Linked DNA regions of Anolis sagrei. Each later gene encodes a partner of the first gene's protein in a complex. Links are inferred from orthologs where the notes say so. Each region holds a gene or a part of one and is shown in the gene's direction. Other genes may lie near its edges.

Region 1 (8,913 bases):
AAGTCTCTGCAAATGCCAGGCCCTTTTTGTGTGAGTGATGACGCTTGACTTTATCATAACGATAGTCAAGCACAATATGGATTGAGGCATCCAAGGAAGAACATGGAAGTTGTCTTGATCTGTGGAAGCTACACGCTTTACGGAATGAAACAGTGGAGTTACCTTTGCAGAATCCCATTATTATAACCATGGAGTGCATACATCTATGGTTTTTCAGTATTTAGAATAGTGTCCAGTTCACTCCAGTACCAAACTTCCTTATTACAACTCTGCTGCTAGTGAGGAGGATTACTGAAGGTGGCCCTCTGTTTTACTTTTTGGTAGACTTTTCCCTTTTGGTAGGCTATGCTTGTGCCTCACCTTTTGGTGATACAGTTGGTTAAACTGCTGAACTTGCTGACCGGAAGGTCAGCGGTTCAAATCCTGAGAACAGGGTAAGCCCCTGCTGTCAGGCCCAGCTTCTGCCAATTTAGCAGTTCGAAAACATTCAAATGTGAGTAGATCAATAGGTACTGCCTATTGGTAATGGCACTCCATGCAGTCATGCTGGCCACATGACCTAGGCGGTGTCTACGGACAACGCTAGCTCTTTGGCTTAGAAATGGAGATGAGCACCTCGTTCCAGGGTTGGACACGACTACACTTAATGTCAGGGGAAACCTTTACCTCTTACGCTGTGCTTTGTGTAATTCCGCCTTTTACTTACATATTTGGGAATTTTAGATCATTTCACTTTGTTTTCCTATCACTGGGGAGACTTTATAGAGCGACTTCTCTCACCTTTTAGAGAGAAAACAAGGGGTACAAACAAAAATAATAAATGAAATACATACACTTAAGATAGAGCTTGTATGACCAAGTTTGTCCTGAAAGTAGGCTGATCCCACCTTCAGAGACAAATATGTGCCAGTTGCCATAGGAGGCTTAGTGGGCTTTGATGGAGGGCCCTTCCACACAGCCAAATAATCCAGAATATCAAGGCAGATAATCCACAATATCTGCTTTGAACTGGTTTATCAGAGTCCACACTGTCATATAATTCGGTTCAATGTGGATTTTAGACAGCTGTGTGGAAGGGGCCTGGAATATCCATCATATGCAGGCTTTTAAAACCACATATTTGGGAACTAAGCTTATAGTCTTGCTGTCCTCAAGGTGTGACTGAGCCCCAGAACACCAGAGAAAAGAGCAGGATGGGCGCAGGTGATAATCTCTCTCTTCCCATTTCTTTTCTCCTTGCATCTGCTTTGCTTCCCTCCCTTTTCCCAGTGTTGTCTTCTCATGTTTTTTCTGGATTAAAGAATAACCCATTCAGGGCTTGAAGGAAATGTATGTAAAGATGGATCAGTCCAGGCTGCTCTGCTGGAAGATGAAACAGTTTCTATGGGAACACTCTGTCACTTGTAGTCCTGCCATAGAACAGACATTCTGGCATCAGATTGGGAGAAACATTGCTTTCTGGCATTCATGCTGCCAGGTGGAAATCACAAGCACAAACAGGAGCCTTGCAGGAAATGAGATATCTTCCCTCGATATAATTCTCAACACGTTTGATTGGCTTGAATGTCGGACTAGGACTTTGCTCATGCCTGCTATATAAAGACGAGGCTGTTTTGCTGCCACTTTAGCCATCCCTGTTATGTTTTCCTGGATGCGACATTGTTTTCTCCTCTCTCTTGACCAGGTACTACTACACTTTTGCCCTGTTCCTCCTTCCGTTTCCTTCCTCCTCCTTTGGTGCTATCTTCCTGTGTCACACATATTCTCCCCCCTTCCAAATTTTATATAAATTGAAACCATCCTATGTGTTTTTTTATTTATAAAAATAGTTTTATTGGACTCCATGTGGTCTCGGTGTGGCTTATTTTAGTCGTTATATAATAATATATAATAATAAAACTTTATTTATATACCACTCTCTCTCCCTCCTAGGGGATTCAGTGCGGTTTCCAATCACAAAAACACACAAACATACAGAGTAAACAAAACATAAGTGTAAAATTATCAGTACAATACATCTATCTATATAAATAAAAATGTAATGTTCGTTTGTGGGATTAACATAACTCAAAAACCACTTGACGAATTGACACCAAATTTGGACACAATACAACTATCAGACCAATAATAATAATAATAATAATAATAATAATAATAATAATAATCTTTATTTATACCCTGCTACCATCTCCCCATGGGACTCGGTGCGGCTTACATGAGCCCGAGCCCGCAATACATCAATACAAGCAATAACAGACACAATACAAGGCAATTAAAATAAATTTCATACACAAATAGCATACACATTAAACAAAGTACAGTGCACATTTAAAATCTGCGGCCAAATGTAATTAAAGTTTAAAAACCAGTGACCATTACTCATAAAAAAACTGAAAAACAGCTGAAGAAACTTAAAAAACCAATAAATAAATAAAAAATATTACAACGCATGGGCAAAACCACAAATATATACACACACATGTACACACAAAAAACACATATACACAGACTGGGCCACAGCAACGTGTGGCAGGAGCAGCTAGTATACAATAAAACCAGTTCCCCTTATTCTTCATGCCAAGGTTAGCTGTTTGGGCCGGAATTTCAGAAAGGGCCTAAGCATATAGCCGGGCGAGGCTAGTGCAAGATATAGGGGGCCAGGGGAATGGGTAAAGTGCAATAACCTGTCCCAGCAACAGTAATAGTGGAGCCATTTCCTGAGCGTATTGGAGAACTGACCGGGGTAATAGGTGAGGAGAAGGGGCATATTCTAGCTAGTGGCCAGGGGCTGGAGTTCATGCTAGTAATTCTCAAAGGCCTGGTGAAACCACCAAGTCTCAAGTTCTTAAAAAAAGAGGAGAGGGATGGGGCCTGTCTTATTTCTCTGGGGAGGAGGTTCCAGAGGTGGGGGGCCACCACCGAGAAGGCCTTCTCTCTCGTCCCCACCAACTGTGTTAATGATGGTGGTGGGAGCGAGAGAAGGACCTCCCCTGTGGATCTTTGAGTTTGCGCTGGTTTGTAGAGGGAGATGCGATCGCGTAGATAGGCGGGGCCCGAACTGTTTAGGGCTTTATAGGTCATAACCTGCACCTTGAATTTGACTCGGCAACTTATTGGCAGCCAATGAGGCTGTTTTAATAGGGGTGTTGTATGCTCCCTATAATATTGAAGTAATGTATTATATATATAAACCTCTTCCAGAAAATTAGAAACATTGGAGGTAAATTTCAGGTAAAAATTGGTATGATAAGAAACAAAGTTGGCAATTTATATCCCCATACCAAAAAAGAGAAATGCGAAAGACTGCTCAAACTTCCGTACAGTGGCCCTTATTTTTCATGCCAGTAAGGTAATGCTCAAGATCCTGCAAGGAAGACTCCAGCAATACATGGAGCGAGAGTTGCCAGATGTTCAAGCTGGGTTTAGAAAAGGCAGAGGAACAAGAGACCAGATTGCCAATATCTGGATGCTGGAGAATGGAGAAAGGCAGGGAGTTTCAGAAAAACATCTATTTCTGCTTCATTGACTATTCTAAAGCCTTTGACTGTGTGGATCATAATAAATTGTGGCAAGTTCTTGGTGGGATGGGCATCCCAAGGCACCTTCCCTCTCTCCTGAGGAATCTGTACAAGGACCAAGGAGCAACAGTCAGAACTGACCACGGAACAACAGACTGGTTCAAGATTGGGAAAGGCGTACGGCAAGGCTGCATCCTCTCACCCAACCTTTTTAACTTGCATGCAGAACACATCATGCGAAGATGTGTGGGGCTTGAGGAATGCAAAGCTGGGGTGAAAATTGCTGGAAGAAACATTAACAACCTCAGATATGCAGATGACACCACTCTGATGGCCGAAAGCGAGGAGGAGCTGAGGAGCCTTCTAATCAAGGTGAAAGAAGAAAGCGCAAAAGCCGGGTTGCAGCTAAACATAAAAAAACCAAGATTATGGCAACAAGAATGATTGACAACTGGAAAATAAAATGTGGAGGCCGTGACAGACTTTGTATTTCTAGGGGCAAAGATTACTGCAGATGCAGACTGGCCAGGAAATCAGAAGACGCTTCCTTCTTGGGAGGAGAGCAATGTCCAATCTTGATAAAATAGTAAAGAGTAGAGACATCACACTGGCAACAAAGATCCATTGCCTAGTCAAAGCCATGGTATTCCCTGTAGTCGCCTACGGATGTGAGAGCTGGACCTTAGAGAAGGCTGAGCGAAGGAAGAGAGATGCTTTTGAGCTGTGGTGTTGGAGGAAAGTTCTGAGAGTGCCTTGGACTGCGAGAAGATCCAACCAGTCCATCCTCCAGGAAATAAAGCCCGGCTGCTCACTGGAGGGAAAGATACTAGAGACAAAGTGGAAGTCCTTTGGCCACATCATGAGGAGACAGCAAAGCCTAGAGAAGACAATTATGCTGGGGAAAGTGGAAGGCAAAAGGAAGAGGGGCCGACCAAGGGCAAGATGGATGGATGGCATCCTTGAAGTGACTGGACTGACCTTGAAGGAGCTTGGGGTGGTGACGGCTGACAGGGAGCTCTGGCGTGGGCTGGTCCATGAGGTCACGAAGAGTCGGAGACGACTGAATGAATGAACAACAACAACTATATAATATTATATATATTGAATTACTATATTGTACTACACCACAATACAGCAATATTATTAGTAATATTACATGCAATATATAATATACAATTATTATATCATATATTATTATATTGTACTGTATTATTATACCATATATACATATACATATACATATATATATATATATATATATGATATCACGATATTGTACTATAGCACTATAAGGCAATATTATTACTAATATTACATGTAATATATAATATACAATTATTATATTATTATATATTATTATTATATTATATATTATTATATTGTACTGTATTATTATACCACAATATACATATATAATACATTATATCAATACTATTGGTATTATATAATATATTGTACTATATTATAAGTTGTATAAACTATATTGCAAGCTACCCATGGCAATTTAGTGTGAGGCACTGAGGATCCAAAGGGGACATCTCTGCTCTCTCCAAGTTTACACATCCCAGGATTCCCAGTTCAAACGGGAAAAGCTGGGCCAAAGGAGAGCCTTATGATAAGATAGAACTGCAAAAGACCAAAAAAACTACGCGCCCCGTCGGCCACCGCGCGAAGCTCAAGCTTGCGAGTGATTCCTCCCTCTGCCGCGTTGCATGCCGGGTCAAGAAGTCTCTGCCCTTTTCGCAGGCTTCTCTCGCTCTCTCGGGCAGCGCATGCGTACTGGCGGCGCCGCTGCAGTTATAGCGGAGGGGGGAGAGGCCGCCATTTTAGCCGTTGGTGAAGAAGAAGAAGGAGGAGAAGGAGAGGCGGGAGGCCGAAGCAGGTGAGCCCTCTCTTACTCTAACCCTTTCTCTGTTTCTCCTGCGCCTTTAGAGGCCTCCCCCAACTCGGGGAGCAAAGGGCTTGTTGAATAGCGCCTCTTCCTGAGGCCAAGCCCAGACTGAGGCCCATCCCCAACACACACACACATATACATATGCACACACAAACACACACACACACATACACACTTTCAAGGGTGTCCCTAAAAGTCTCAATGCATAGGACAAATTAACAAAGTCATGTATTATTTTATATATTTATATTACAGTGTGTGTGTGTGTATACACACACATATACATACATACATACATACACACACACACACTTTCAAGGGTGTCCCTAAAAGACTCAAAGCATAGGACAAATTAACAAACTCATGTATTATTATATATTTATATTTCAGTGTTTGTGTATGTGTGTGTGTACATACATAAATATACACACAAACACACACACATACACATTTTCAAGGGTGTCCCTAAAAGTCTCAATGCATAGGACAAATTAACAAACTCGTGTATTATTTTATATATTTATATTTCAGTGTGTGTGTATGTGTGTATATACACACAGATATACATACATATATACACACACACACACATACACACTTTCAAGGGTGTCCCTAAAAGTCTCCATGCATAGGACAAACTAACAAAGTCATGTATTATTTTATATATTTATATTACAATGTGTGTATGTGTGTGTGTGTGTGTGTGTGTGTGTGTGTGTATATATATATATATATACACACACACACACACACACACACACATAAATATACACACACAAACAAACACACACACATACACACTTTCAAGGGTGTCCCTAAAAGTCTCAATGCATAGTACAAATTAACAAAGTCATGTATTATTTTATATATTTATATTACAGCACATATATGTATATATATATACACACAGACATACACACACACACACACACACTTACATACACACTTTCAAGGGTGTCCCTAAAAGTCTCAATGCATAGGACAAATTAACAAACTCATGTATTATTTTATATATTTATATTACTCTCTCTCTCTCTCTCTATATATATATACTAGCTTGGGGACCCGGCGTTGCCCGGGTTATTAGAGAAAGTGGGTAATGGCGGTTCTGTATGCCAAGTTTGGTCTTTATTGGTCTTTGGATAATGGCAGCATTATTTTCAGGAAGTGAGTGAAGGTACTTCAAAGTCCCATCATCCATGGGCCATCCTCCTACAAACAGCAGCAGGATATAGAGTGGGTCATGGGGGCTCTGTGTGCCAAGTTTGGTCTTTATCAGTCATTAGATGAGGGTGGCAGTGGTGTCAGTAAGTGAGTGAAGGTACTGCAAGTCCCATCATCCAAAGTCCATCCCCTTTCAAACTGCAGCAGGATGTAGAGTGGATCATGGGGGCTCTGTGTGCCAAGTGTGGTCTTGATTGGTCATTAGAAGAGGGTTGCAGCAATCTTTGGAAGGGAGTGGAGGTACTTGAAGTCCCATCATCCATGGTCTGTCCTCCTCCAAACTGCAGCAGGATGTAGAGTGGGTCATTGGAGCTCCATGTGCCAAATTTAGTCTTGATTAGTCATTGGCGAGGGTCTCAGTGGTCTCAGGAAGTGAGCAAAGGTACTGCAAGTCCCATCATCCATCCCCAAATTTTTCCAAAGAACACCAGGTCGTAAAGTAGGTCATGAGAGGTCTATGTACCAAGTTTGGTCTTGATCCGTCATTGGAAGAGGTTTGCAGAGGTCTCAGAATGTGAGTGAAGGTATTGGAAGTTCCATCATCCATGGTCCACCCTTCTCCAAAACTGCAGCAGGATGTAGAGTGGGTCATGGGGGCTCTGTGTGCCAACGTTGGTCTTGATTGGTCATTAGATGAGTTTTGCAGCAGTCTTGGGTAGTGGAGGTACTTGAAGTCCCATCATCCATGGTCTGTCGTCCTCCAAACTGCTCCAGGATGTAGAGTGGGTCATTGAAGCTCCATGTGCCAAGTTTAGTCTTGATGAGTCATTGGCGAGGGTCTCGGTGGTCTCAGGAAGTGAGTGAGGTGACTGCAAGTCCCATCATCCATTGTCAAATTCTTCCAAACCGCACCAGGATGTAGAGTGAGTTATGCAGGCTCTCTGTGTAAATTGTGGTCCTGATCCATCATTGTTGGCAGTTATAATGGTCTTAGGAAGGGAGTGCAGGTATTGCAAGTCCCATCGCCCATGGTGCATCCTCCTTCAAACTGCACCTGGATGTAGAGTGCACCATGGAGACTCAGTGTGCCAAGTTTGGTATTTATTGGTAATTGGATGAGGGTTGCAGTGGTATGAAGAATTGAGCAATGGTACTGCAAGTCCCATAATCCATGGTCCATCCCCGGCCAAACCACACCAGGACGTACAGTGGGTCATGAGAGGTCTCTGTGCGAAGTTTGGTCCTGATCAGTCATTGGATAAGGTTAACAGTGGTCTCAGAATGTGAGTGGTGGTACTGCAAGTCCCATCATCCATGGTTCATCCTCCTCCAAACTGCAGTAGGATGTAGAGTGGGTGATGGGGGCTTTGTGTGCCTATTTCGGTCTGTATTGGGAGTGTTCTGACCCAGCCCCCTTTGGCCTTTCCTTTCCTCTCTTTCTCATCTCAGAATGTTGGATTTGAGGCTGGCCAATCAGAGAGCATATGCAAATTTCCTTCTGTCATGCCCCGTTTCTGCCATGAACCCTCTTCTCCACCAGGGGGTCCTATTGAAGCTGGCCAATCAGAGACCATATGCAAATAGCACCACAGCGGCAGCCAATCAGAACGCTGGCACATACACCGCCCTCCACAATTCCTATACAAACAAACACTCTTCTTTATTATATATATAGATAGATAGATAGATTGGGCAATAAGAAGTTCGTGATCTGAGCTACAGTCAGCCCCAGGTCTTGTTTTCACCGACTGGATGGATGTCCGCCACCTTTGGCTGCAAAGGATGTAGTCAATCTGATTTCTGTGTTGACCGTCTGGTGAGGTCCATGTGTAAAGCCGCCTTTTAGGTTGTTGGAAGAGAGTATTCGTTATACACAGCGAGTTTTCCTGGCAAAATTCTATCAGCCTGCGTCCCGCTTCGTTTTGTTCTCCCAGACCATACTTGCCTGTGATCCCTGTTGTCATTTGACTTCCCACCTTGGCATTCCAGTCTCCTGTAATGAAAATAATGTCTCTTTTTGGTGTATTATCCAGTAGGTCCTGCAGATCCTCATAGAACTGATCTACTTCTGCTTCTTCAGCAGCTGTGGTTGGGGCGTATATTTGGATCACTGTAATGTTGAAAGGCTTTCCTTGCACTCGAATTGAGATCATTCTGTCATTTTTTGGGTTGTATCCAAGCACTGCTTTAGCGAATTTCTTATTAATTATGAAGGCTACTCCATTTCTTCGATGTTCCTCTTGTCCGCAATAGTAGATCTGGTGGTCATCTGATGTGAAGTGGCCCATTCCAGTCCATCTCAGTTCGCTGACCCCCAGAATGTCTATCTTTAGTCTT
Region 2 (8,264 bases), on another chromosome or scaffold:
GATGGGGGGTATATTTTGACTTCCAATCTTCTTCACTTCAGGTATGTTTGTCTTCATTTATTAAAAAAACTATCCCAAAAATTGGCCAGCTCCTCTTATATTCTTTCTTAAGAGCATTGGGTATTTGTTTTTATCTTATATCTATTATCCATTTCAGGTTTTCTTGCATTATAAAATTCTTTACCGGTGTCCAGTCTGTTTTTGATATTTTCAAATTCTGCTTTGCTCATCAATTGGGTTAATTTGTCCATGTTCATAATATCTGTAATTTTCATTAGCCGTTGTTCTTGTGTTGGGATCTCTTTTGTTCTCTTTTCTTGCATAGTTTATTCTGGCCGCTATCTGGCAGATAGTTAAAGAGTTTATCCTTATTAGGTTCTATTTCAAAGTCAGTTATTCCTAATAGGAAATATTCTGGTTTTAATTCTATTTTTATATCTAATATCTTTTCTAAATTTTTTGTGTATGTTTTTCCAATATGACTTAGCAATTTTACATGTCCACCACATGTGAAAAAATGAGCCTGTTTGGTCTTTGCACTTCCAACATCTGTCTTTTGGATAACATTTAGCCAGTTTCTGAGGTGTAATGTACCACCTATACATCATTTTTAACCAATTTTCTTATAGATCAAATGCATAACTGTATTTTATTTTCTTATTCTATATTTTCCCTTCTGAGATGATTTTTGTTATGTGTTGTTTTGGTCTTTTTGTCCTTATTTTTCTGAATAACCATTTTCCACATTTGTTTGCATTTTGGAAATATTGCTGTTCATCAAATTTCATTTTCTTTGAAAGTTGTTCCATTTCTAATTCCTTTGTTTTTGTAAAATCTCAATTTCTGTTTTTGGAGGTTTTTCGTCAGATCTTTTTCTATTTCCGATATTGTAGCCATTACTTGAAGAGATTCTCTATTTCTTGCTTTGTTTTTTCTTGCATTTTGTTGAATTAGATGTCCCCGCATCACGGCTTTACTTGTGTCCTAGATCGTTTGGTAAGAAAGATTTTCAGTTTTATTTAGTTCAAAGAATTCTCATAAGATATCTTTATTCCTTTTTTATATCTTCCTCAGATCTCAGGAAGTCATTATTTAATCTCCATTTCCTTGTATATTCTCCTGTCTTCCATTTGAATTCTAAGGGGCACTGGTCTGAGTTTGTTCTTGGAAGAATTTTTATCTTTTGGATCTTGATGTTTGTTGTCCAGACCATGTCTATTCTTGACCATGTTTGATGGCGGTCTGAATAGAAAGTGTAGTCTCTTTCTTTTGAGTTTCTACTTCTCCATGTGTTTTGTAGATTGAATTCATTCATCAGGTTAGTAAATGACAATGGTAATTCTCCAGCTTTTTTCTTTGTTATGTTTTGTTAAAGTATTCCTTTCTAATTTGCTGTCCAAGACTCCATTGAAGTCTCTTTGAGGCAGCTTTCAAGGGTGTTCCATCTCTTGTTCTCCATAGGGTCAGGTTTCCATGACAGTAAATTGAGGATTTGTAGGTGCTCCTTTTCTCGGGTGGAATACAGTTTCCATCATCCCTCCCCAGCCAGTGGTGAAGAGATAATGGGAGCTGCAGCCCCACAACACCTGTGAGGCCACCTGAATCTTATCCTTCTTATAGGAGATACTCCTCACTCCTTTTTGTTTTTGGATCTGGAGTTGTAACTGGCAGCAATGGAGGTGGGACAGAGAGCAGTCCTCAGTTGGCAGAACCGATTGGTCCACACTAATCCCTGCTGTTTTCTCAGTTAGAGCAAGAGACGGGTGAGAAGAAAAATGCCTACCAAAGATTTAACATTCCCAGTGTAAGTAATGCAAGGTGTATAAATTAATCAAATAACCTTCAAGGCACATTTCTTCACTTCAAACCTCTGTTTGGGAGTGGATATAAAGCATAACCTTTTGCTGTACTGCTAGCAGAACCTTCATAATATGTGTATTAAAAATTAGGCTAGTCCTCAATATTTTTTTACTAATATGTATGTATGTATGTATGTGACATATACAGTAGAGTCTTGCTTATCCAACATAAATGGGCCGGCAGAACGTTGGATAAGCGAAAATGTTGGATAAAATGGAGGGATGAAGGAAAAGCCTATTAAACGTCAAATTACATTATGATTTTACAAATTAAACACCAAAACATCATGTTTTATAACAAATCGACAGAAAAAGCAGTTCAATACACGGTAACGTTATGTAGTAATTATTGTATTTATGAATTTAACACCAAAACATCACAATGTATTGAAACGGCTCCGGGCAGGAGTCAGACTGCGTTGGATAATACAGAACATTGGATGAGCGAAGGTTGATAAACAAGACTCTACTGTGTGTGTATGTATATGTATATGTATATGTATATGTGTGTATATATATATATATATATATATATATATATACACACACACACACACACACACACACGCTAATCAAGCTACTCATGATGTTAATTTATTTTTTTTACTAACCAGGTGACCTGTATGTATTACTGACTTGTTGCATCATTGCTCCAAATGATTCTTTTGTCAGAAGCACCTAAACAAATGGTGAATTGCAAGCTAATGCTAAAATTACTACACCGATTTACAGCATTATATATTGCAGGATACTACTGCCATTCATTTTGTATTGCATTTAAATTTGTGCTGTATGTATGTGCGTGTATATATATTATATATTATACTGATGTTTTCTTATAATAAACATTTCATGTAAAAATATACTGTTGAAGCAACAAATGTTCTACATGTCTACATTCTAAAACATATGTATTCTATCCTTTTTTGAGCTTCTCAATGTTGATCACGACTGTCATGATCACCCAGCACTGGTTATGTAAACTGATGATGATGGGAGTGGCATCCCAATTTGTTGTTGAACTCCATTCCCCATTGGCCCCAGCCAACCAGACCAGTGGGAACAGCAGTTCATCAATCTCTGAAGGGCTGCCTTAAAGTCGATTTATCAATCCAGAACAAATACGCATTATTGATAAAAAGAAAATCCCAAACGAAAACTGAGAGAATATATCCACCAGAGAATGTAAAGCCCTTCAATTCAATAACATAGATTGATTGTAGTTTGTATTTTTTTTGTTTAGGATGTAGTATTCTGAATTGAATTAGTTCTATCATAAAAACATGGGGAAAGTTTACCAAACTGCAAACAAATTGTTTTTGTGGGAGGGACATCCTACAGCACATTTTGCTCTGGTTTTTCAATTAATCTATATAAATAAAAATGTAATGTTTGTTTGTGGGATTAACATAAATCAAAAACCACTTGACGAATTGCCACCAAATTTGGCCACAGGACACCTACTAACCCAAGGAGTGACCATCACTCAAAAAAGTTGATTCTGTCATTTGGGAGTTGCAGTTGCTGGGATTTATAGTTAACCTACAATCAATGAGCATTCTGAACTCCACTAATGATGGAATTGAACCAAACATGGCATACAGGACTCCCATGACCAACAGAAAACACTAAAAGGGTTTGGTGGGCATTGACCTTGAGTTTGGGAGTTGTAGTTCACCTACATCCAGAGAGCACTGTGGACTCAAACAATGATGGATCTGGGCCAAACTTGGCACAAATATTCCATATGCCCAAATATGGAGTTTGGGGAAAATAGACCTTGACATTTGGGAGTTGTAGTTACTGGGATATATAGTTCACCTACAATCAAAGAGCATTCTGAACCCCATGAACAACAGAATTGGGGCAAACTTCCCACACAGAACCTCCATGACCAACAGAAAATACTTAAGGCCATCCAGTCCAACTCCCTTCATCAGGGCAAGAAAACGTAATCAAAGCCCTCCTGACAAAGAGCCATCCAGCCATAGATATAGAGAGATATGATTCACACACACAGAGATATAGTCTCATAGATTTGAAAGGGACCCCTAAATTTGCATGTTGCATGTTCCAGAGTAGGCAAACCAGACAATCTCCACATCAACACTGACAAAGATCAGCAAGAAATACTGTTTACTCACAAGCATAAAAAAATTACATATATTAGAAACCAACACTTTCTCATTACTTTCCAGATCACCAGACTGGGCCACAGCAACGTGTGGCAAGCTAGTATCTGATATAATCTCAACCAATTCAACCTAATTTGTAGCTGCCCCAAAAAACAAAGTTTCTGGATTTGAACAACTACTTTCCAAGTAAGGATTGTACAATTAAACAGGAATTAACACTTTCAAACCAGGAACAGAAACTGGGTTGTTAGTTTTCCAGGCTGTATGGCCAGGTTCCAGAAGCATTCTTGCCTGATGTTTTGCCCACATCTGTGGCGGGCATCTTCAGAGGTTCTGAGGTCTGTTGCAAACTAGGCAAGTGAGGTTTATATGTCTGTGGATCCTCTCACCTCTGCAGGAGTCTACCACATATCATGCAGCTGTGGACAAGTCTACATAGAGACCACCAAACAGCATTGCCCAAAGACGAATCAAGGAACATGAAAGGCACTGCAGACTAATTCAACCAGAGAAGACATCCATAGCAGAACAGTTTTTTTCTGGCTATATGGCCATGTTCTAGAGGCATTCTCTCCTGACGTTTTGCCTGCATCTATGGCAAGCATCCTCAGAAGTAGTAAGGCTGCTTGCCATAGATGCAGGCGAAACGTCAGGAGAGAATGCCTCTAGAACATGGCCATATAGCCTGAAAAAACCTACAACAACCCAGTGACTCCGGCCATGAAAGCCTTTAACAATTCATAGCAGAACAACTAATGAAACAACTGGGACACAGCATATTATTGGAGAACACAGAAATGGCCGACCGCTCTGACAACCACCATGTCAGCTACACAACCACTTAGAGCTGTGTAGCTCTAAGATGTCAGGCTACACAGAGAAGCCATTGAAATTTATTTATTTATTTATTTATTTACTTCGCTTATATACTGCAGTTCTCAGCCCAGGGGCGACTCACTGCGGTGTACAACATAGCAAAAAACAAGGTGCAAAATATAAGACACAGTATAAAATAATCCACAATTCAACATTATCAGAAAACATCCTCATCAAAAACATCATTACTACAAAAGCCATTCCGTGTCGTCTCATCGCCAAAACCACAATCCAGTATCAATTTCCGTTGTTCATTCCTATGGTCAATTACCAATCATTGCACTTCTTGTTCAAACGCCTTCTTAAACAGCCAGGTCTTTAATTTCCTGCGGAATATCAGCAGGGAGGGAGCTAGTCTGATGTCCACGGGGAGGGTGTTCCACAGCCGAGGAGCCACCACCGAGAAGGCCCTATCTCTCGTCCCCGCCAGCCGTGCCTGTGAAGCAGGCGGGATCGAGAGCAGAGCCTCCCCGGAAGATCTCAAAGTCCGCCTGGTCCAGCTCGCCATCCTGGCCTATGTCATCGGGTGAGCCTTGGGCATGTGGATAATTTCAACAGAAAGGAAGAAAACATGGAAAGGGAACACAATCTGGCTAGCAGCATTTAAAAAAAGCTCTAAGATCAGGACAGTAAATAAAGAACAACACTAAAAAATGGGGGAATTCCAGACAAGAAACAATCAGGGTCAGCTAACACCAAAGGATCCCCCAGGCTTTGAAGCTGGCCTTCTCTATAGAATCACATCACCTTAGAGTTGGAAAGGGCTCATGGAGCCCAAACCCCGTGACCCAATCAAAGCCCTCCCGACAGATGGCCCTCCGCTGCTCTTGAACAGGCTGCCAAAAGAGTCCCTCCTCCCTCCCCGAGCCAAACGCCTCCAGCTTTGTTGGGAACAGGAAAGGTTTCCCCCGAAGCCTTTCCTTGGAGGGAGGAGACTGGCCAAGTCCGGCCCATTCTCTAAAGTTCCCTGGGATAGTTTGAAAACTTGTATTTCCCTCTCCTTTGGCCCTGCTGACGCCGCGCCTTCTTGCAACATGTGGGAGCCAAGCCGGAAACAGCTGCGGTGGCCTCGCTGAGCGCGAGCTCTTTGCCTGGACTCCGCTTGGACTCCGGCTTCAGCCATGGCCGCTCCGGACCGCCAGCCCTGCGGGTTCCTCTATGGCTTCCTCTTCGAGTACGACACCCCCCGCATCGTCTTGATCCGGAGCCGTAAAGTCGGCCTCATGAACCGCCTGGTCCAGCTCGCCATCCTGGCCTATGTCATCGGGTGAGCCTTGGGCAACGAGGACTTTTTCTCCCCGGCTTGGACTATGTGGGTCTTCTCGAAGAGGAAAAGGCTGGAGGGAATCTCTTCCTTCCCTTCCCTGGAGGGGTTTCAGCAGAAGCTGGCTGGCCATCTCTTGGGAAGGTTTGGATTGTGCCTTCCGGATAGAATGGGGTTGGACTGGATGACCCTTGGGGGTCCCTTCCAACTCTGGAAAAGTGATGGAGTTGGGTTTTTTTTAAAGCAGAGGCTGCATAGGCCACCAAGGGCCATCCAGTCCAACCCCCTGCCAAGAAGCAGGACAATTGCATTCAAAGCACCCCCGACAGATGGCCATCCAGCCTCTGTTTAAAAGTTTCCAAAGAAGGAGCCTCTACCACACTCCGGGGCAGAGAGTTCCACTGCTGAACAGCTCTCACAATCAGGAAGTGCTTCCTCATGTTCAGATGGAATCTCCCTTCTTGTAGAAGCCATTTCCAACTGGACTGTAATATAGAATGTGTTGTCGAAGGCTTTCATGGCTGGAATCCCTGGGTTGATGGGAGTTTTCTGGGCTGTCTGGCTATGTTCCAGAAGCATTCTCTCCTGACGTTTCAGCCACATCTATGGCAGGCATCCTCAGAGGTTGTGAGGTCTGTTGGAAACTAGGCAAGTGGGGTTTATATATCTCTGAAAATACTGTCTAGAGTGGGAGAAAGAACTCTTGTCTGTTGGAGGCAAGTGTGAATGTTGCAATCGGCCAGCTTGATTAGTATTGTGCAGGCTTGGGGGGCTTCAGCCCCCCCCCCCCAAATTCTCATGGTGGTTCGCGAAAAGGCCTACTGGTGCATTATTTAAACTGTTATGTTTATTCATATCATGATCAGATCACCATACTCAATATATCCCATATGCATGGGGGTATTGGGGTAACGATACAAAAGGTTTTCTAGGGTAGACCCTCTTTAACTCGGACTCAGCCCTCCCCCCTCCCCCCCAAATCGAAATCCTGGCTACGGGCCTGGTATTGTGTATCCTTGCAGCTTCAAAGCTTGGTTGCTTCCTGCCTGGGGGAATCCTTTGTTGGGAGGTGTTAGCTGGCCCTGATTGTTTCCTGCCTGGAATTCGCTGTTTTTTGAGTCTGGAATTCCCTGTTTTGTGAGGTCTGCCGGAAACTAGGCAATTGGTGTTTATACAGATACCTGTGAAATAATGTCCAGGGTGGGAGAAAGAACTCTTGTCTGTTGGAGGTAAGTGGGAATGTTGCCATTGGCCAGCTGGATTAGCATTGAGTAGCCTGGCAGCTTCAAAGGCTGGCTGCTTCCTGCCTGGGGGAATTCTTGGTTGGGAGGACCATCAAACCAGACACGAATCAAGGAACATGAAAGGCACTGTAGACTAATCCAACCAGAGAAGTCAGCCATAGCGGAGTACTTGATGAACCAACCTGGATACAGCATATTGATTGAGAACACAGAAATGCTGGACCACTTTGACAACCACCATGTCAGAATATGCAGAGAAGCCACTGAAATCCACAATAAGCATGTGGACAATTTCAACAGAAAGGAGGGGACCATGAACATGAACAAAATCTGACTATCAGTATTTAGAAACTCTAAAATCAGTACGGTAAATAAAGAACAACACTCAGAAAACAAGGGGATTCCAGACAGGAAACTATCAGGGCCAGCTAACATCTCCCACGAAAGGATTCCCCCAGGCAACAGCAGTCAGGCTCTGAGGCTGCAAGGCTATTCCAGGTTATTCCATGCCAAAAAGGCAAACATTCAATGCCTGGTACAGACAATAAATTCAAATACAATACAAAGCATCCAAACCCCAAAATAGATCAACGTATATGAAAATAAATCAACATATGCCAAAAACCCACATATAACATCAAATTGTAACATATAACCTAAAATCAACATTAAATTATATCAAGTATAAAAACAGGAACCTCAATTTACACACACACCCAGGTTCAATTGGTATTGAATTAAAATTAATTATGTTGCCTATGATGTTAACTAAGCCAACAAAACCAGAGTATGTGAATATTTTCCAGTCAGAGATTTGTTGTATCTAGTTTAATAGCAAGGATTCCGTAACAACAAGCCATGGCGGTCAAAGTGGTATCAAACTGCA

What was found.
Region 2: the proteins of AP2M1 (region 1) and P2RX4 are in contact, whole or in part, in a crystal structure (PDB 2BP5), measured with the Rattus norvegicus proteins. The link is inferred for Anolis sagrei from reciprocal best matches to the Homo sapiens genes AP2M1 and P2RX4. Residues at the interface, in NP_446289.1 of Rattus norvegicus: Phe174, Leu175, Asp176, Lys203, Asn217, Leu316, Ala317, Gln318, Lys319, Glu391, Val392, Pro393, Lys400, Val401, Arg402, Tyr403, Leu404, Ile419, Lys420, Trp421, Val422, Arg423, Tyr424, Ile425; in NP_113782.2 of Rattus norvegicus: Val375, Glu376, Asp377, Tyr378, Glu379, Gln380, Gly381, Leu382, Ser383, Gly384.

What each region holds. Positions count from the first base shown.
Region 1 is NC_090023.1:264,556,408-264,565,320, reverse strand, and holds the start of AP2M1 (AP-2 complex subunit mu), read left to right. Parts: upstream 1-5,298; 5' UTR 5,299-5,400; intron 5,401-8,913.
Region 2 is NC_090034.1:42,603,617-42,611,880, forward strand, and holds the start of P2RX4 (P2X purinoceptor 4), read left to right. Parts: upstream 1-5,089; 5' UTR 5,090-5,229; coding exon 5,230-5,396; intron 5,397-5,789; exon of another isoform or gene 5,790-5,991; coding exon of another isoform or gene 5,992-6,137; intron 6,138-8,264. UniProt on the Homo sapiens protein: ATP-gated nonselective transmembrane cation channel permeable to potassium, sodium and calcium. CTP, but not GTP or UTP, functions as a weak affinity agonist for P2RX4.